Linked DNA regions of Mus musculus. The protein of the gene in region 2 interacts with the protein of the main gene of each other region in a pairwise test. Links are inferred from orthologs where the notes say so. Each region holds a gene or a part of one and is shown on either strand. Other genes may lie near its edges.

Region 1 (3,751 bases), on a different chromosome or scaffold from region 2:
ACCTCTCAGCTCAGACAACACTTTCAAGGCCCCTCCATGATATCTTCCAGTTATAGCAGCGAATGCGCCGCCGTGGCTGTTGCCCTGCACAGCATCCCTGCATCTACCTCTCTGAGTGATGGTTTCTGTGGTCTGTGCCTGTTTCCACTTAAAGCACTTGCTATCTGTAGGAGTTAGGCGCAGGACAGAAGGATGGATACATCCTGGATCTGTGTGCATCTCTCTCTGTGTGTACATGTTTATATGCACAGGTGTATGTATGTGGAGGTCAGAGGACAATCTTACATGCCATTCCTTAAGTGCTACCTTTGTGTGTGTGTGTGTGTGTGTGTGTGTGTGTGTGTGTGTGTGTGTATGGCAGGGTCTCTCATTGTCTTGGAACTCACCAAGTTGGCCAGGCTGGCTGACCAGCAAGTCCCAGGAATCTGCTTGTTTTCCCAATGCTGGGAGTACAAGCACACACAGTCATTCTACAGCTTTGCTTTGTAACCTGGGGACTGAAGTCAGGTTCTCATGTTTCAAGGCAAACACCGTATTAAGAAGTAGATTAGAAGTCTACTTCTAGAAGATTTTAGACATATCCCTTTCAGCGGCTATTCCTGGAGAGAGGTCCCTAACCACTGGTCACTAATGGCTGTGCCTAAGTACTATGGGTAATCCCCAAGTCAATTCAAAAGCGTCAACCATGAGAGAAGTGCTTAATTTGAATTTTGTGTTGTATCGAGAAGCCTGAAGGACCGTCCTGTTGATGAGAAGGGCAATGTAAGCACCACACAGCTTCATGGGCTATGAAGTCTGAATTAAGCTGCATTGATGCCTGTAATTCAAACAGAACTCAAGACAAGAGGCCTGTGGTTAAGACAAAGGTCTTTGCTCTAAAGGCCTTTGCAATCATTTCGAGATTTAAACAAAACCCAAGGGGAGGCTTTTCCTGATGAGATAAGAACCCCGGGGCTGGGCAAATGGTGTGTGCCGATGCTTGAGGTCCTCAGTCAGGAGCGAAGTCTCCCACTTTTATTCCATTGGCTTTATAGAAAGGGGAACCCCACCTACCATGGATGACACAGGAACAGATTGTGATATGACTGTAATAAACTTAAATTGGGGGCAATAGAACATTTTATTATCACAGAGGTGCATTATAAAATGCTTGGTGATAGTGAGGAGATAATTAAATAAGACACTAAAAAATCCAGGTATCAGAACCGTGTATGGTGGCACAGTTCTTTAACCCCAGTGCTGAGGCAGTGGAGGCAGGAGGATGGTGAGGTCCAGACTAGCCTGGGATACACAGATCTTGTATCAAAGAGCAGTTCATCCATCCATCCATCCATCCATCCATCCATCCATCCATCCCCTATCACACAACTATTTATCAATCAGTATACATATCATTAATATCTGTAATCTGTATCCACCCTGAACCCTTTTGTTATTTATACCCATAGTAGGTTAATATATTTGTTATAACATTCATATAATGAAAGATGAAAAATCTCTTTAAATCAACTTGAGTCTTCAAAGTTAGTAAAGACTACTGGCAAACTCACATATAGAAACCATTGGAGGTCTTTGAAAAATAAGATTATCCACAATGAAGACCTTATATTGTAAGCCATAACAAAGATTTGAACTGCAATTTTGGATGATAAAATGATCATATTTTATATATAATTAGTTGAAGTTTTAGAAAAAATGTGAGTTAGACTCATCCTGTTTACAGATACCACATGATAAAATACATTTTTTTTTCAATTATACATTTCAACCTAATCTGCTTCATGTGTTCGAATTCACCTAGCATACATCTCTCAATCCATTAGGCAACTAAACAGTGAGGTAGAAATTACAGGCTTCATGGCTCACCTGATTTTGCAGCTCTTTAATCTGTGCGTAGTAGGAGCTATAGTCTCGGATGGTGCTCGGCGCGTTGGTTTCGTACCACTGCTTGATCTGGGCTTCAAGTCTGGAATTGGATTGCTCCAGGGAGCGCACTTTTTCTAGGTAGTTTGCCAATCTGTCGTTCAGGTTCTGCATTGCCAGTTTCCCATTGCCCCCAAACAGGTCCGATCCGTTGGAGAGATCACCCCCGTAGCTCATTACGGCTTTGGAGACAGAGATGCGAGTGCCATGGCCTCCAGCCCCACCATAGACGCTGGGTGCAGCCCCCAGACGCTGCACAGTCCCCTTCCTATACAGCGAGCCACTCATGCTGAGTGCTGGGCCTTGTGAGGAGGAACTCAGACTTCGGTGAAAACTTTGACGACTGAAATCCATCTGGGATGTAGGGAGGCAACGCCTGTAGCCTGGACTTGGAGCACAGCCTGTCTGTCTCGGGCTGCTGTGGAGATGACCTTTTATAGAGTTCAAGAGACTCCTCCTCTGCTGCCGTGTCACCTCAGGAATGACACAGTCCACCTTCCTGTCTCCCCTTCCCCCTCTTTTGTACGGCAATACGTTTCATTCCATTCCAGAAATTTCTACCAGAGGCACTTTTTAAAGGCTTTCCTGTGGGGGTGGTGGGAGTGGAGGTTTCTTTTTAATAAACAGAGATAACAAAAAGGACGAGGAAGGGGTGTCCTTTCAGGTCTTGCACCTGCCCTGGCAGGTTTTTTTTTTTTCATCCTGTATACAAATAAAGAATATTTACAATCTATATGAATAATTCAGGCATCGAACAAGACAGCTGTGGGAACATAATATAAGTCACACTGGTGAGAAAAGACAATGGCTTGTTCAAATGATTTTCTTTTAAAAAATGTTTTATGCTTCTTTAAATTTTTTTTTTACTTTTAAGTTTATCCTTGTTTAGAATTTATATTTACAGTCTATTGAAATGTCTTGAGTGAAGCTGGGTGTGTGGGTGTGCACCTGAGATTCTAGCACCCGGGAGTCAGAGGTGGGGGGGATCAGGACTAGTTTGAGGCCAGCCTGGTTGAAGTAAGGTGTTCCAGTCTAGCCCAGTGTTGTGTAACAAGACACTGTCTCAAAGTGCAGCTCCCCCCACCCCCGTTTAAGAATTGAATACGGTCAGTAGGTGAATATGTAAATGATTATCGGTGGGCGGTGGGTCAGTTGATTTTGGAGTTTTTTAAAAAAAGATATTTTAAATAGCATTTTTGGATAATTTCATCCATGCACATGTAGCGTATCTTGATAAACTCCTCTCCCACTCGCCTCTCCAGCTGCCTCCGAAGCGCCTAACACAACCCCACCCAAACTTCATACCTCTTTTTATCTTTTTCTTTTTAAAAATAACCAACTGGATCTAATTAGTGCTGCCTGTATGCTTGTGGGTGTGCGGCCTTGGACTGGGTGTGTGAGCAGCCTGTCAGAGGTCATAGATCCTCTGCCTGGCTCCCAGCAGCCTGCAACTGCCAGGAACATCTAGGTTAGCAAGGGGACCTTATTTAAAAAAAAAAACAAAAACAAAAACAAACTTGTTATAAGAATCTTGCAAATATTTTTAAATCTAGTGCTTCTTAAAAAAGAAACAGCAACATTAAATTACTGCGAAACTCCTGCTTTTAATAACTGGCATATTGCATATATTGCATACTGCTTCCTCTGTCTGAGGCCAGCTAGACACCACCAGGGGATTCTTTTTGCTTCTATCTTCCTAACGCTGGCTGTAGGAGCTGCCTCTTAGGACCCCTGATGGATCCCAGTTTCACTGTGTAGATTCCTACGCTCACAGCAAAGTGGCTCCCCGAGAGTGGAAAGAAGGTTGCAGGTGGCTACAGGACTCACA
Region 2 (3,651 bases):
AAGTTCTGGGTTAGTTGTAGCCACAGCTAAACTCAGAGACCTGTTCTTCAAAGAACAACAAAAATGCCTGGCATGATGGCACATGCCTACATTTAATCCCATTACTTAGGAGGCTAAGACAGGCAAATCTCTGTGTTCCAGGCCAGCCTGGTGTACAAAGCAAGTTTCAGGACAGCCAGGGCTACACAGAGAAACTTTGTCTTTGGGGAAACAAAACACACATAAATAAAAGACTTGGCCGACACCAACAGGCCAGCTGGCACAAAGCCAGGCTATGACAGTCCTGTCTCCACTGCCCTGCAGATGGGCCCTTGTGAAAGCATCCTGGAAACTGCAGGTCAGGTTCCCGTCTCACCTGCTGCTTTAGGTGGGTCTCCTGCTGCTTCATCAGCTCGCACATCCTCTGGGACTCCACCGCTTCCTTCAGGAGCTATTTCCAAGACAGGACCCCAGAACCTGTCAGAAGCCCCTGAGGGTATGTCTGACCTTCTTTAGCCACAAGCACTGGACCCACTGAGGCTACCTGCTCTCAGACTGCTGTCTGGACAGGCAATTACTGGATTGGGCAGGCAAAATCTCTCCCATCCATAAGAAATAGATTGAACTAAGCCAGAACCCAGCCCACTTCCTTCCAGCCCCACCACAGCCCTGGGGCCTGAGCCTCACAAACTCCTTCTCTCGCTGGTGCCGCTCCTCTGCCTCCTTCAGCATCTCCTGGGCCTGCTGGAGCTTGGCGTCCACTAGCTGCTGCTGCAGGTCCTTATGTTTGAAGACTTTGTCGATATGCTGCAGAAAAGGTAATTTATGGAGTCAGGAGTTCCCTTTCAAGAAAGCCCCAACTCTAGGAAACAAGGCACTTCATCCGGTCTCCTGCCGACCCATGTCCTTGGGAATGGCATGGTCTGATGTACAGGTCTGATGCGGAGCTGGGACGAGGACACGCCTCCACTCTAGCACTGAATACTCTACAGATGTCCGGTTCAGACACCAGGGATAAGCACTGGTGTGTGTGTGTGTGTAATCTCTTCTTTCCATTTATTTCAGCTCCTTATCTACAGGATACATCTCTTGAAGGAAGAGCAAGCCCAGGCCTGCAGTTGCGGCCCCAGGCCCTGGCACTCACTACAGACTCCCAAGCTGCTGGCCTCAATCGCCTGCAGCTCACCTCCTCACGAAGCTCGTATTGCTCGATCAACTTCTTGAGCCTCTCGGCTAGCTCCATATTCTCCTGGCGCAGCTTGGAGTTTCGCTCGTTATGCTGTTCCATCTGCAGCTGAATGTCATTCAGTGTCACCTGGAAGTGTGAAGTCACTTCTTTGCGCTTCTCCTCCTCCTCACGGGCTCGCTGCACGCCTTCTTCCTGAAGAAAAGAATTGTCCATAGTTGCCAGCCTTGCACAAAGCTCCCCTAACTAGTTCCAAAGTCCAGTCTTTGCCAACAGCGATTTGGGCCCTGGGGAGCACCAAGGATGTAGGACGTCATACAATGGGGTTTCCTAACATGCCTCTCTGTAAATCAGGTGTTATCAAGCGACTCTCCCAAGAATACTCAGGGTCCATGCTAAGTGCCATTCTGCAACAGCTGGACAGCCTGAATTCTTGTTCCCAGACTCTAGATTAAGTATTTCTGCTTGTTTCAATTTGTGTCCATTTTAATGTCCTTTAGTCCCTCCTGTTCCCCACAGAGAACAATATAACAAAATGTAGTCATATTCAGGACTAGCAGAGTTGTAAGAAATGAGGCACCTAAACATTCCCACTTTTATGAAGACAGCCTAGACGATTCTATCAATTAGCCACTTAGTGCTGTGCCCACTGACCCAGCCATTTCACTTCTGAAATTTAGTCTGTAGATAAAATTCCTCAGCACACAATTGGTAAAGGACATGGACACACATACTCTTACCTAGTTTTGGTTTTTAAGTTTTTTTTGTTTTGTTTTTTTGTTTTTTAAAGATTATAGCTGGGCGTGGTGGCGCATGCCTTTAATCCCAGCACTCGGGAGGCAGAGGCAGGCGGATTTCTGAGTTCGAGGCCAGCCTGGTCTACAGAGTGAGTTCCAGGACAGCCAGGGCTACACAGAGAAACCCTGCCTCGAAAAACCAAAATAAATAAACAGATAAATAGATATAGATAAATAAATAAATAGTACTGCACATGTGTGCACCTAGAGGCCAGAGGTCAAGTGCCATCACCAAGCTTTCTTTACCTTAGTATGTATATATGTATGTATTTATTTTGGTTTTTCGAGGCAGGGTTTCTCTGTGTAGCCCTGGCTGTCCTGGAATTCACGAGAAGTTTGTACTTTTTAAAGAGAGTCATGGACCTCCTGCCACTGGAGTTAGACAGTTGTGAGCTGCCATGTGAGAGGTGGGCACTGAAGCGGCTTCTCTAGAAAAGCGGCCCATGCCCTAACCACTGGGTTATCTGTCTGCCTGTCACCCACTGGGTTATCTATCTGCCCACCCACTTCTTGTTGGTTTTGTTTTAAGCTTTTTTATTTATTTAGTTTTTATTTTTGTTTTTGTTTTTTTCGAGACAGGGTTTCTCTGTGTAGTCCTGGCTGTCCTGGAACTCACTCTGTAGACCAGGCTGGCCTCGAACTCAGAAATCTGCCTGCCTCTGCCTCCCAAGTGCTGGGACTAAAGGCGTGCGCCACCACGCCTGGCTTAAGCTTTTAAAAATTTCTGTATATTTATGTGTCTCTGTGAATGTATGTCACATGTATGCAGGTGTCCAGAAGTCAGATTAGAGTATCAGATCTCCTCAAATGGCTTGCGGACAGCCGAATGTGGGTGCAGGAACAGTAATCGGGTCCTCTGGAAGACTACTAGGTTACTACTCAGCCATCTCTTAGTCCTCCATACTTCACCGAGGTACACTACTTAGGCCAGCTCTGCCGCCGGGCTCCAGGCCTTATGCTGGCAGTGGGAAGCACGCTCTTGGTTGATCCATCTCCCCACCTTGCATCCTGAGGTCCCATAAAGGTTTACTTGGCAGGGGACTCTGGAGCCTACTGTGGTGCCCAAGGTCTGCTGAAACGGCTTAGGACTGGGAAGTGTGCTCTTGAGCAGCTCTGCTGTCCCACACCCTCCTGCCACACCCTGCTCCTGCCCCTCTCAGCGCAGATCTGAAAAGCCATCAGGTTCCCCTTATCATGGATGAGAGCTTTTACACTGGGTGTCAGGACAAACAATCTCTGTGGTTTTAGGAAGCTGAGTGTTTGCAGAGGGAGCTGACTCCGGCTGACGCATCTGGTGCTTCCTGCACGCCAGGCAAGGTAGGCACAGCTGTTCTTTGGTGGACCTGGGACTGAGCTAAGCCTAAGCTGCTGCTGCTGTTACTTCTTCTTCTATAGTAAATCTTCCTATGAAATCCAAGCTGGCCCAGAACTCACTGTATAGCATAGCCGCAGTTGCCCACAAGTCCCAATGGATACTGATGGGCCTACCTTCAGGGACCGGTTGTGCCGTTGCAGCTCCCGGCACAGACTCTCAAGCTTGCTTCGGGCCAGGACAGCCTTGCTGTGTTCCCCTCGCAGATGGTCCTTCTCCTGCACGAGCTGGCTCTGCTTCTTCTGCAGGAGCTTCATCTGCTTCTGCGAGTTCCGATGCTCTTCCAGCTGAGAACAGGAGGCATAAGTGTCTGCAGG

What was found.
Region 1: the proteins of Txlna (region 2) and Krt20 interact in binary tests that used the Homo sapiens proteins (3 or more experiments, as listed by UniProt). The two-hybrid records come from large-scale screens. The link is inferred for Mus musculus from reciprocal best matches to the Homo sapiens genes TXLNA and KRT20.

Annotation. Positions count from the first base shown.
Region 1 is NC_000077.6:99,435,821-99,439,571, forward strand, and holds the start of Krt20 (keratin, type I cytoskeletal 20), read right to left. Parts: upstream 2,334-3,751; 5' UTR 2,278-2,333; coding exon 1,867-2,277; intron 1-1,866. UniProt on the Homo sapiens protein: Plays a significant role in maintaining keratin filament organization in intestinal epithelia. When phosphorylated, plays a role in the secretion of mucin in the small intestine.
Region 2 is NC_000070.6:129,630,925-129,634,575, forward strand, and holds part of Txlna (alpha-taxilin), read right to left. Parts: intron 3,622-3,651; coding exon 3,451-3,621; intron 1,899-3,450; exon of another isoform or gene 1,361-1,898; coding exon 1,166-1,360; exon of another isoform or gene 1,045-1,165; intron 787-1,044; coding exon 667-786; intron 431-666; coding exon 356-430; intron 1-355. UniProt on the Homo sapiens protein: May be involved in intracellular vesicle traffic and potentially in calcium-dependent exocytosis in neuroendocrine cells.